Linked DNA regions of Drosophila melanogaster. The protein of the gene in region 2 purifies or fractionates together with the protein of the main gene of each other region. This does not show direct contact. Each region holds a gene or a part of one and is shown on either strand. Other genes may lie near its edges. The genes, in order: yellow-f and PPO2.

The links.
Region 1: the proteins of PPO2 (region 2) and yellow-f purify together in Drosophila melanogaster (affinity purification with mass spectrometry, with the first as the bait; one large-scale study listed by BioGRID). This does not show direct contact.

The regions. Positions count from the first base shown.
Region 1 is NT_033777.3:12,990,861-12,995,133, forward strand, and holds yellow-f (yellow-f), read right to left. Parts: upstream 2,342-4,273; 5' UTR 2,286-2,341; coding exon 2,123-2,285; intron 1,936-2,122; coding exon 1,606-1,935; intron 1,540-1,605; coding exon 884-1,539; intron 823-883; coding exon 682-822; 3' UTR 589-681; downstream 1-588. Other genes in the region: yellow-f2, read right to left, coding at 2,596-2,736, 2,804-3,459, 3,568-3,957, 4,074-4,245. UniProt on the Drosophila melanogaster protein: Tautomerization of L-dopachrome with decarboxylation to give 5,6-dihydroxyindole (DHI). Also catalyzes the tautomerization of the methyl ester of L-dopachrome and dopamine chrome. May play a role in melanization reactions during late pupal and adult stages.
Region 2 is NT_033778.4:9,041,761-9,046,663, forward strand, and holds PPO2 (prophenoloxidase 2), read right to left. Parts: upstream 2,950-4,903; 5' UTR 2,861-2,949; coding exon 1,877-2,860; intron 1,822-1,876; coding exon 1,726-1,821; intron 1,668-1,725; coding exon 906-1,667; intron 850-905; coding exon 637-849; 3' UTR 501-636; downstream 1-500. Other genes in the region: Ance-4, read right to left, coding at 1-51, 286-327; CG13743 (uncharacterized protein), read right to left, coding at 4,746-4,903. UniProt on the Drosophila melanogaster protein: This is a copper-containing oxidase that functions in the formation of pigments such as melanins and other polyphenolic compounds.

The DNA.
Region 1 (4,273 bases), on a different chromosome or scaffold from region 2:
CCAGTAATCATTCCATCTTCGCGAAAAGGTCAATGAACGCAGCCACTATATAGTCAACTAGAACTGGTAGAAACATTTCGCTATATTACGTACTACACACTACATATATTAACTATGATCGAAACTACTTAAAGGACTTAGGTGTAGCGTTGAGGAACATATACAAAAGCAACCTATATATTTTTTGCAAAACTTTATATAAACTCGTACATATATATACAAATTGAATAGATATATATATATATATATATATAGATCTATATACACCATATGTATAGCTGACACTTTGAAGGGCTACCAAATTTACACCTCGAATTTGTTTAGATGCGGAAAAGTTATGAGAAATTTACAACATGAAATTCAAGTATTTTAGGTTAACATATACACGCGTAACCCTTACACACACAACTGTGCAACTTAGTATCCTTATGCAATATTGGAGTGCCTCTGATTTTGTTCATTGATGTTGTTTTCTTTCATGTTTTCATTTGTTTCGTGCGAAAAGACATACGCATCTGTCGTAACATATAAGATGTGATAAAAATGAGTACTCAAATTTAGGCAATTTTAAACGATACATATGTAAATGCTTTTTGATTTATTTTATTAATAAGTTTCCGTGTGTTATTTCGATAAACATATTACTTATGCGAAAAATTCATTAAAGCAATTCCACGCAAATCACTCACAAACTGTTCCCCTCTTGGCCAGCAATGTCGACTGCCTCCAGATTCGGAAATTGTACTTCTCCACATCCAGCTTGGAGTACACAAAGATGGGCATGGAGTTGGACATCACCCAAATGTATCCCTCCTCGTCGATCTAAAACAACAACGCACTTAACCTTCGTTTTCGTGTTACAAATAGAAAGGGATGAGCTTACGGTCAAATCGCTGGGATAAATCATCTCCGATGAATTGGAATAAACGGAGCCATGGTTTTCCGTTGAGAACGGCTTGCTGGTTTTCCAGCAGCCCACTCCACTCTTCTGGACCTCGGCAAAGAAAATCACCCCGGTCCGCGGATCGTATTTATGCATTGTGGACTGGGTGGACGGACCACGAGTTCCCAGAAGATGGAAGTCGTCTCCATGATCAGAACGTGCTGCATTGAATTCCTGCTGCAAGACCCTGTTGCTAACCACAAACTCATTCGTGCTGGCCATAGGATGGAAGAAGACATCCCTGCTGCCATCGGGCTTATATGATCCCAAGGTCGCCGAGAAAATCCCGTCGTCCCAGCGGAAGGTCTGCCCACCAATGTTGAGATTATCAGAAAGGGGATCAAAGTTAAAGAAGCTGTGCTCGAAGGACCAAATTCTATCGCTTCGCAGGTGATAGACGTGCAGTCTGCGATTGACCAAATCCGGAATGTAGGCATAGGCATCGTTGCACCTCCGAGCGCCCACATCGATTGTGATGCTGGCTAGTCCACGTCCGATCTCCACTATGCTCTGCGGAATCTCAAATCGTTTCAATAAGCGATCGTTAGCCAAATCGATCACCCAAATGCTAGGATGTCGAATCTGCTGGCGATTATCTGATGGTTATATAATATTATTTTAACCTGGATCACCTTGCCTATAAAGCAAATGATTATACTCACTGGGAAACTCCAGCATTCCGGTGTCGACGAACCAGAGACGCCCACAGACATCCACTGAGGTTCTATAGACAGACACTAGGTTCTGCTCGCTCGCATTATACTGATTCACCGCCAAGTTGGGATAGGCCCGTAGATGGGGACTCTGACTCCACCCATCCTTGGCCAGATCGATGTAGTTTAAGGTGGACGGAATGCCCGGCTGTCGCCGTGGCACGGTGACAAAGAGGCGTCCTCGAAAGTGGGTTACTCCTTGGGGCACGTTGTTGTATTGGATGAAGGATCCTGAGGATGAGGAGCCTAAGCACTTGCGGGAGTTGTAGAAATGCGAATCTTTGTCGAACGAATAATTGTGATATATATACATATTATTCGTTATAAAAGTGACGATAAAATGGTGATTAAAATAATATTCATATTACAACCATTTCATAATGTTTTGTGGAAAAACTTAGTGATTCACCGACATTTGCTGATGTTTGAAATTGAACATATTTCAATTGGATATTTTTGGAGTTACCTGGAATGCAGATCCTGTTCCACAAATCCTTATAGCCATCGCCGCGATTGTAAAAGTCCAACTGCTTCCACTTGAAGACCTCAATCATGGGATCTCCATCTGCAGAGATTAGCAATTGGAACCCTGAGATTGCGCACAGGAGCAGAACGTCCAGCGATAACATTTTATAAAATTCCGGTCGTTCGCCTTTCCTGGCTGAAAACCCACTTGTGACTGACTGACTCCTCAGCTTGGGTTCAACTGAGTTAAACGTGCTCTGCGACTCAAAAATGAGCTCAGAATGTAAAGTGATAAGAGCAGTCACTGGGATTCCCAAGCTCTTATTTTCCATGTCTCTTTATTCAACTTTTAAGATTTGTTGATAATCTGAAGAGTATATTTGTAAAGCTAACTATTTATTCGAAAATTTCGTCATTCTTACTTATGTATGTATTTTTAATTAAGTAACAAATTCAACAGGAATTCCACACGAATCACTCACAAACTGTGCCCCTCTTGGCCAGTGAAGCCTTCTGCTTCCAAATCCGGAAATTGTATATACTCGTGTCCAGTGTGGAGTAGATGAAGATGGGCATGGAGTTGGACATGACCCAAATGGTGCCATCCTCGTCAATCTGCAATAGTAAGATGAGATGTATAACTTTTTTTCTTCAACTTTTTTATCCAAAACCATTTGCTTACCGACAAGTCGCTGGGATAAATCATATCCTCGGCATTGGAATCCACAGAGCCATAGTTTTCCGCCGAGATGGGCTTGCTGGTCTTCCAGCAGCCCACTCCGTTGCGCTGGATCTCATCGAAGAAGATCACCCCAGTCCCAGGATCGTAAGCGTGCATCGTAGACTGGGTGGACGGACCACGGCTTCCGAGTACCCGGAAATCGTTCCCATGATCGGAACGTGCGGCGTTGGATTCCTGCTGCAGAACCCGGTTGGAGACCACAAACTCATTCGTACTGGCCATGGGATGGAAGTAGGCATCGCGGCTCCCATCCAGTTTCTGGGCCCCCAAAGTTATTGAGAAGATGCCATCGTCCCAGCGGAAGGTCTGGCCGCCAATGCTGAGATCCCCGGACAGCGGATCGAAGTTGAAGTAGTTGTGCTCGAAGGACCAGATTCTATCGTTTCGCAGGTGATAGACGTACAGGCGCCGGTACACCAGATCCGGAATATAGGCGTAGGCATCGCCACACTGACCCGCCTTCACATCCACGGTGATGCTGGCCAATCCGCGACCCGTCTCAGCTATACTCTCCGGAACATCGAAGCGCTTCAGCACCTGATCCGTGGCCAAGTCAACTACCCAAATGCTGGGACGGCGGATCTGTTGGCGGTTATCTGGATATGAGAATCATGATTGAGTTTTTTATATTCTTGGTCACCAAATTAGATTAATACGGATCGATCCTGATCTTTTATATTACATGTCAATACATGCCAACTCACTTGGATACTCCAGCATTCCCGTGTCGATAAACCAGAGACGCTGGCATGCATCCACGGAGGTTCTGTAGACGGACACCAGATTCTCCGCACTCGCGTTGAACTGATTAAGCGCAAAGTTGGGATAGGCCCGCAGCTTGGGGCTGCGATTCGATCCGTCCTCGGCCAGATCGATGTAATTCAAGGTGGATGGGATGCCCACCCGTCGACGAGGCATCGTGACAAAGAGGCGGCCGCGGAAGTGAGTGGCTCCCATGGGCACGTTATTGTACGGAATGTAGGAGGCGTTGGGGTCGTCGCTGTCGGCGCGGGAGCTGACCACTACCGGTGTATCGCGGGAGGTCATAATCTTACGCTTTCGACGAGAATACTTTCCAGGAAAGACAACCGGAGCTAGTTGAACAATAAAAAAATAGTACATAAGTAAATACCAATAAATCTATCTAACAAGGCTCGCGAGATTGCTATTGCTGAATGAGAACTAGTAATATCATATTATGAGTACTAACCTGAAAAGCTGGGCCTGTCTTTCCTTCCGCCCGAGCTTAGATGGCCATCTCCGCGATTGTAAAAGTCCATCTGCTTCCATCGGAAGACCTCTATCATGGGATCAGCATCTGCCAAGGAAAGCAGCTGTAACCCTGAGATTAAACTTAGAATCAAAAATTGGGGCGATAACATTGCTCGGTTTTCCTGGGGAACTATAATC
Region 2 (4,903 bases):
ATTCACAAACGTCTTGGCCTCCAGGTCAATGTTGGCTGCTGCAGTTGCGCACTAAAATAAATGACAATCAATTAAAAGCAGCAAATTCACTTACAATATTATTGCTATTACAGGCTTAGTTTAGTCTAGGTCTTCTAAGTATCCTCAAACTATATAGAAACTGACACGCATCTAAATGAAACATATTTCAAACACGCAAAATTATGATTTAAAGTTATCTAAAGACCACATCTTTTTGTGGGATCTTTGTGGACCCATAGATTATTTAATCGGTACAGTGCTTACGCCAATGCCCGCTATCAGCACCAGAAGCAGCAGCAGGCCCATCTCCTCGGGAATCGGTTTCACTTTCGCACTCAACACCGGATCTGCTCGAACTGAGGTGCTCCGGCCGTGGAGCTGGCATTTAAAGCTTCTCCCGGGCGGCTGATAAGCCTAATCAGCGAGAGATTCTCGCCCGGAGGCCGAGCCACAATAATTGAGAACAAAAGTGGGATTGTGGAATGCCATGATGTCTTGTTTATTAAGCGGCTCAATAAAGATGCAATAGATTGCTAAGAGTTGTATATCTAGAAGTGGGCGAGGTCATGGAATCGGGTCAGGGCGAATCGGGAAAGCGAATCAGGTGCGGATCGTCTAGTTTGGGCGCTGCACGGTGCGGTTCTCGTGGCGGATGTTCACGTCCACGATGCTCATGTTGGGCGTGAGGAAGTTAACCAGGCGGTCGACTCCGCTGCGGGGCAACCTGTCGAAGGGGAATCCCATGGACTGGCGATCCGGGTAAAGACGGTCACGGACGCCACAGTAGGAAGCGGCATCGCTGCACCGACCCACCAATTGCTGGTCAATCTGGAGGTGGAGATAATTGTCAAAAATATCCTTGATTTACTAGCCAGCTAACATACCCTGTCGTTCTCATAGTTCGACACCATGATGAACAGCACGCACTGCAGTCCCTCGGGCAGACCCTTTGGCACCAGCATGTGGTTGGGCCAGCCGCAGCCGCAGAAGTTGAACTCCAGCTCCTCCGGAGTGCCGGCCGCCGGACGATTGGCATCCAGGTTGCGGAAGGTGCGCTCGAACGGAATGGTCACGCTCGACTCCGTGGAGCGGCGGCGGATGGTGTTGGGTCCCGGGTTCAGCGAAGTCACGAACTTGTCCAGCTCGATCATCATGGAGCGCTGATCTCGCATCAGCATGGGCTGGCCACGCTCGTCGTTCTTCGGCGCCATGAAGATGCGCACGTAGCCGAAACGCTGGGCACCACTATCGTTGTTCAAACTGATGGTATAGGTGAAGGGCAGATGCTGCAGGTGGGTGAACCTGGCGAAGACATTACCTCGCGGCAGGAAGTCGAAGCCACGGGACATGTCCACGTCCGACTGCTGCCAGAAGGTGGTCAGATTATTGGGACGACCTCCATTGGTGTCCACCTGGATGCCCGCGATCGAGACGCCCGGGTAGTTTAGTTGGTTCTCGGTATAGGCGGGCAGGCGCGACTTGTGCTCCTGGAAGATGCGGTCGATGTACGAGTGCCACTTGTAGAAGACCGGGTCGCGCATGGCCGTGGACACATCACCCATCACGCCAAAGGACTCCAGGTGCTTGCTGGTCGGATCGTGGGCGTACGAGATGAAGGTGTGTCCGTTGTTGTGCAGGTCACCATACTAGGGGAGCAATAGGATTAATCCCTAGAATAATTTACTAAGGGTAAGGACTTATTACCAGCACTCGGTTGGGCGACAGAATGGATGATTCAATCATGTTGCCGAGGGTATCAATGCCCGTCGCCTCATCCAATGGCACCCGGTTGCCACGCTCCTGAAAGGGAATATGGCATGTTATTTAGTTAATGGAAAACCCACCAACAACTCACATCCATGACAAATCCTTGGTGAATGGCCTCGTAGATGCGATCACGCCAACGCTCCAGATCTCCAATCTCCACATTCAGCTGGTCGGACTCCCGGTTGAGATCGCTCAACCTGGTGCTCTCGAAGCGCGGTGGCCACGCGCGGCTGGCTACCAGAGAGTCCATCTTGGGGAAGTAGCCCTCGGCAATGGGATCCCTCAGGTTGTTGAAGGGCAGAACCCTGGCCAGGTTGTTGCTGAACCGCTCCGCATTGTAGCGGGCGATCACCTGCTGGTGCATGTAGTAGAAGAGCTCGCCACGACGATCCTTGGCCACTATGCTGCGGTCGGAGGCCTCGAAGGGGTAGACCAGATGCCAATGCCAGTGGTGAAGGTTGATGCCCAGATCCTCGCGGAAGTACCACAGCCGGTGCTCGGGATCCAGATCGGAGGCGGTGTAGTCCCTGGGAATGGTGATGGGCATCCGGGAACCGGGCTGCACCACAAAAGACTCCTCCCGCATCTTGCGGATCACCTGCGAGTCGATGAAGCGGTCGGGGAAAGTCTGCGAGAAGGATGGCAGATCCAGGCCCTGGGTGTCCGGACGATGGAGCAGCGCCACCGACAAGGCGTAGTTGAAGAGCACCGGGTTGACCCGATCCCTGGCGTACACCGCCACGCTCTGCAGGTCGTCCACGGAGCGCATGTTCATGAATATATCGATCAGGCGGCCGGCGATCCTGCGGTGCTTGGGCAGGAACAGCGAGAACTGCTCGTCCCGGCCCAGGGACATGGGGATCCGCAGATCGGGAATGGAGATCTCCCGGACTGGAACGCGCTGCTCCACCTTGTCGCCGACGCGGCTCTGCACCTCGTTGCTGATGGGTCGGTAGCGGTCGGTCAGGAAGGAGTCGGGCACATCGAACACGGTCACCCTCTTGCCCTTGTCCATGAACACTGGCTCGGTGGGATGGTCGAAAAGCAGGAGGAGATTCTTCTTGTCGGCCATTTTCAATGGGATGTCAGGGAGGACCTGCTGGATCGCGGAGCAAACTAAATGGGGAATGTGACTGGAAGTCTGGGAACTTCACGACTGTGACTATTCACCGAAAGAACTGCACATTTTATACAAAACTTCGAAGGCACTAGTATCGGTTTTGAAAACCACAAGAACGCCTGAGAATTGAAATTGTCGACAAATTGCGGCGATAAGGATATAGTATGGAAACCGCAGTGTTGTTTTAGCATATTTCTAAAATGCAGTTTTATTATTTCAAGAGTATTTCATTTGGTTTTGCTTTAGCTTATCTATACATATATACTATTGGAATGAAATCGGATTTTGTTATCTCTGGGATATGCCTGCGTTGTAAATCAAAACTTCTCTACGCACACGATCCTCCGGTCAGATAGCATCACATCTAAACAATTTAATATAATAGTATGTATATATATGTAGCTACATGCATAATACGGCAATAATAGTTATTACAATTCGGCTATAATCGATCAATTCGTCCCTAATTCCCTACTACTGCTTTGATATACAATACATATATTTATTTAGCATAGCGCTAAAAAGAGAGATACAACGAGATATTTGGCGAGTGAAGAGATGAGCAATATCGTACGACAAGCGGATCTACATATATATAGCGTGTATATACAGGAAGTCTGTGGAAATTGTATGCTGCTGTTTCCGTTTCCGTTCTCGTATTCGTTGTGTAAAAGCGATAGGTTCAGTTGGTTAGTTGTTTAGATCTTGTAAAATGTATCTCAGAAAAGCCCTGGGCATGTCCCGTGTTCCTTGGCCATGATATGTAGTGTTTAAGCTCTTAGAATATAGAGTTGTGGGGTCTTCAGCTTGGTTCCGATCTCTCAGCCCGAAGAGAAAGTAAGAGGTGATGGCTTTTGTGTGAGTGTAAAGACTTTAATCACATCCAAAAATGCATACACATGTATTTACATAATATCGTGCAGTATAAACCAAGAGTTGTACAAAAATATATCTATGTTTCTGTATATATAAATATTCGATCGTGTTCGGTGTACATATGCAATTCAAAACAGAATTCAGTGCCGTTAACAACTCAAAACTGTTGTTCAAATCGATGTGTTGATGGGGATATATTGTAGTTTGATTTTAGTTCGGTTCAAGCGCATTTTTATCTACCCTTGTATACATATACATACATATAAAACTGGGGAATACGATCCGGTAACGTCGGGGCATACATAGTTACAAATAGTTCTCGGTACATACATATAATACTTGTTCGATTTCGTTTTCGATTTTGATTCACTTCTCAACTTGGGGAGTCGGTTGTCTCTAAGGATTGCATGTGTATATTGGTGCCCAAATAGTTTCAGACTACGCTAAAGCTACGGATAACATCTAGTTCTAGTTCGGTTTAGTTTGCCTTTGCTCGTTTCTTTCGATTCAATTCAATTCAAATCGCTTGCTCAACTTGATGGCTTCAAAGTACAGAGTACGGAGTACACACACACTTATATATCGAGGAACTTTCACTACTTTCAACAATATCGACATCAACAACGGGGATCCAACGAAATGTACACTTTAAACGACTATCCGGTGCAAATATACATGGGTTACTCGATCGGAGAGAATGCCTGGCCTTTGTACTGAGGTTCGCCCGTATCACACATCCGCTATCCGCTATCCACTAATCCAATTCAACACTGTGCCTACTACTTACTTACGCAGATACTTTGAACGTCTGGGACTCAGGTACAAGTTTCTTTCGATGCGACGTGGTGCAGCTGTATTAACCGAAGGTCAAATCAGAAGTTTCAACCCAAAAACCCAAACCATAAAAATGCGATCCCAACCCGCGCGCCCCACATCGTGGGCTGACTTCCGTTCCGTTAACTTAGTTCGAGGAGGTGGTGTTCTGAAACTCCTGCCGGCAGTAACCCATCACAATGTCCGATCGGCAGTCGCCGCCCATTAGACCCGGCAGGAGCACCGCCGCCCCCAAGATGGTCACCAGGGCTCCGAAGACCACCAGGCCCAGAGCGGGCAGCTTCT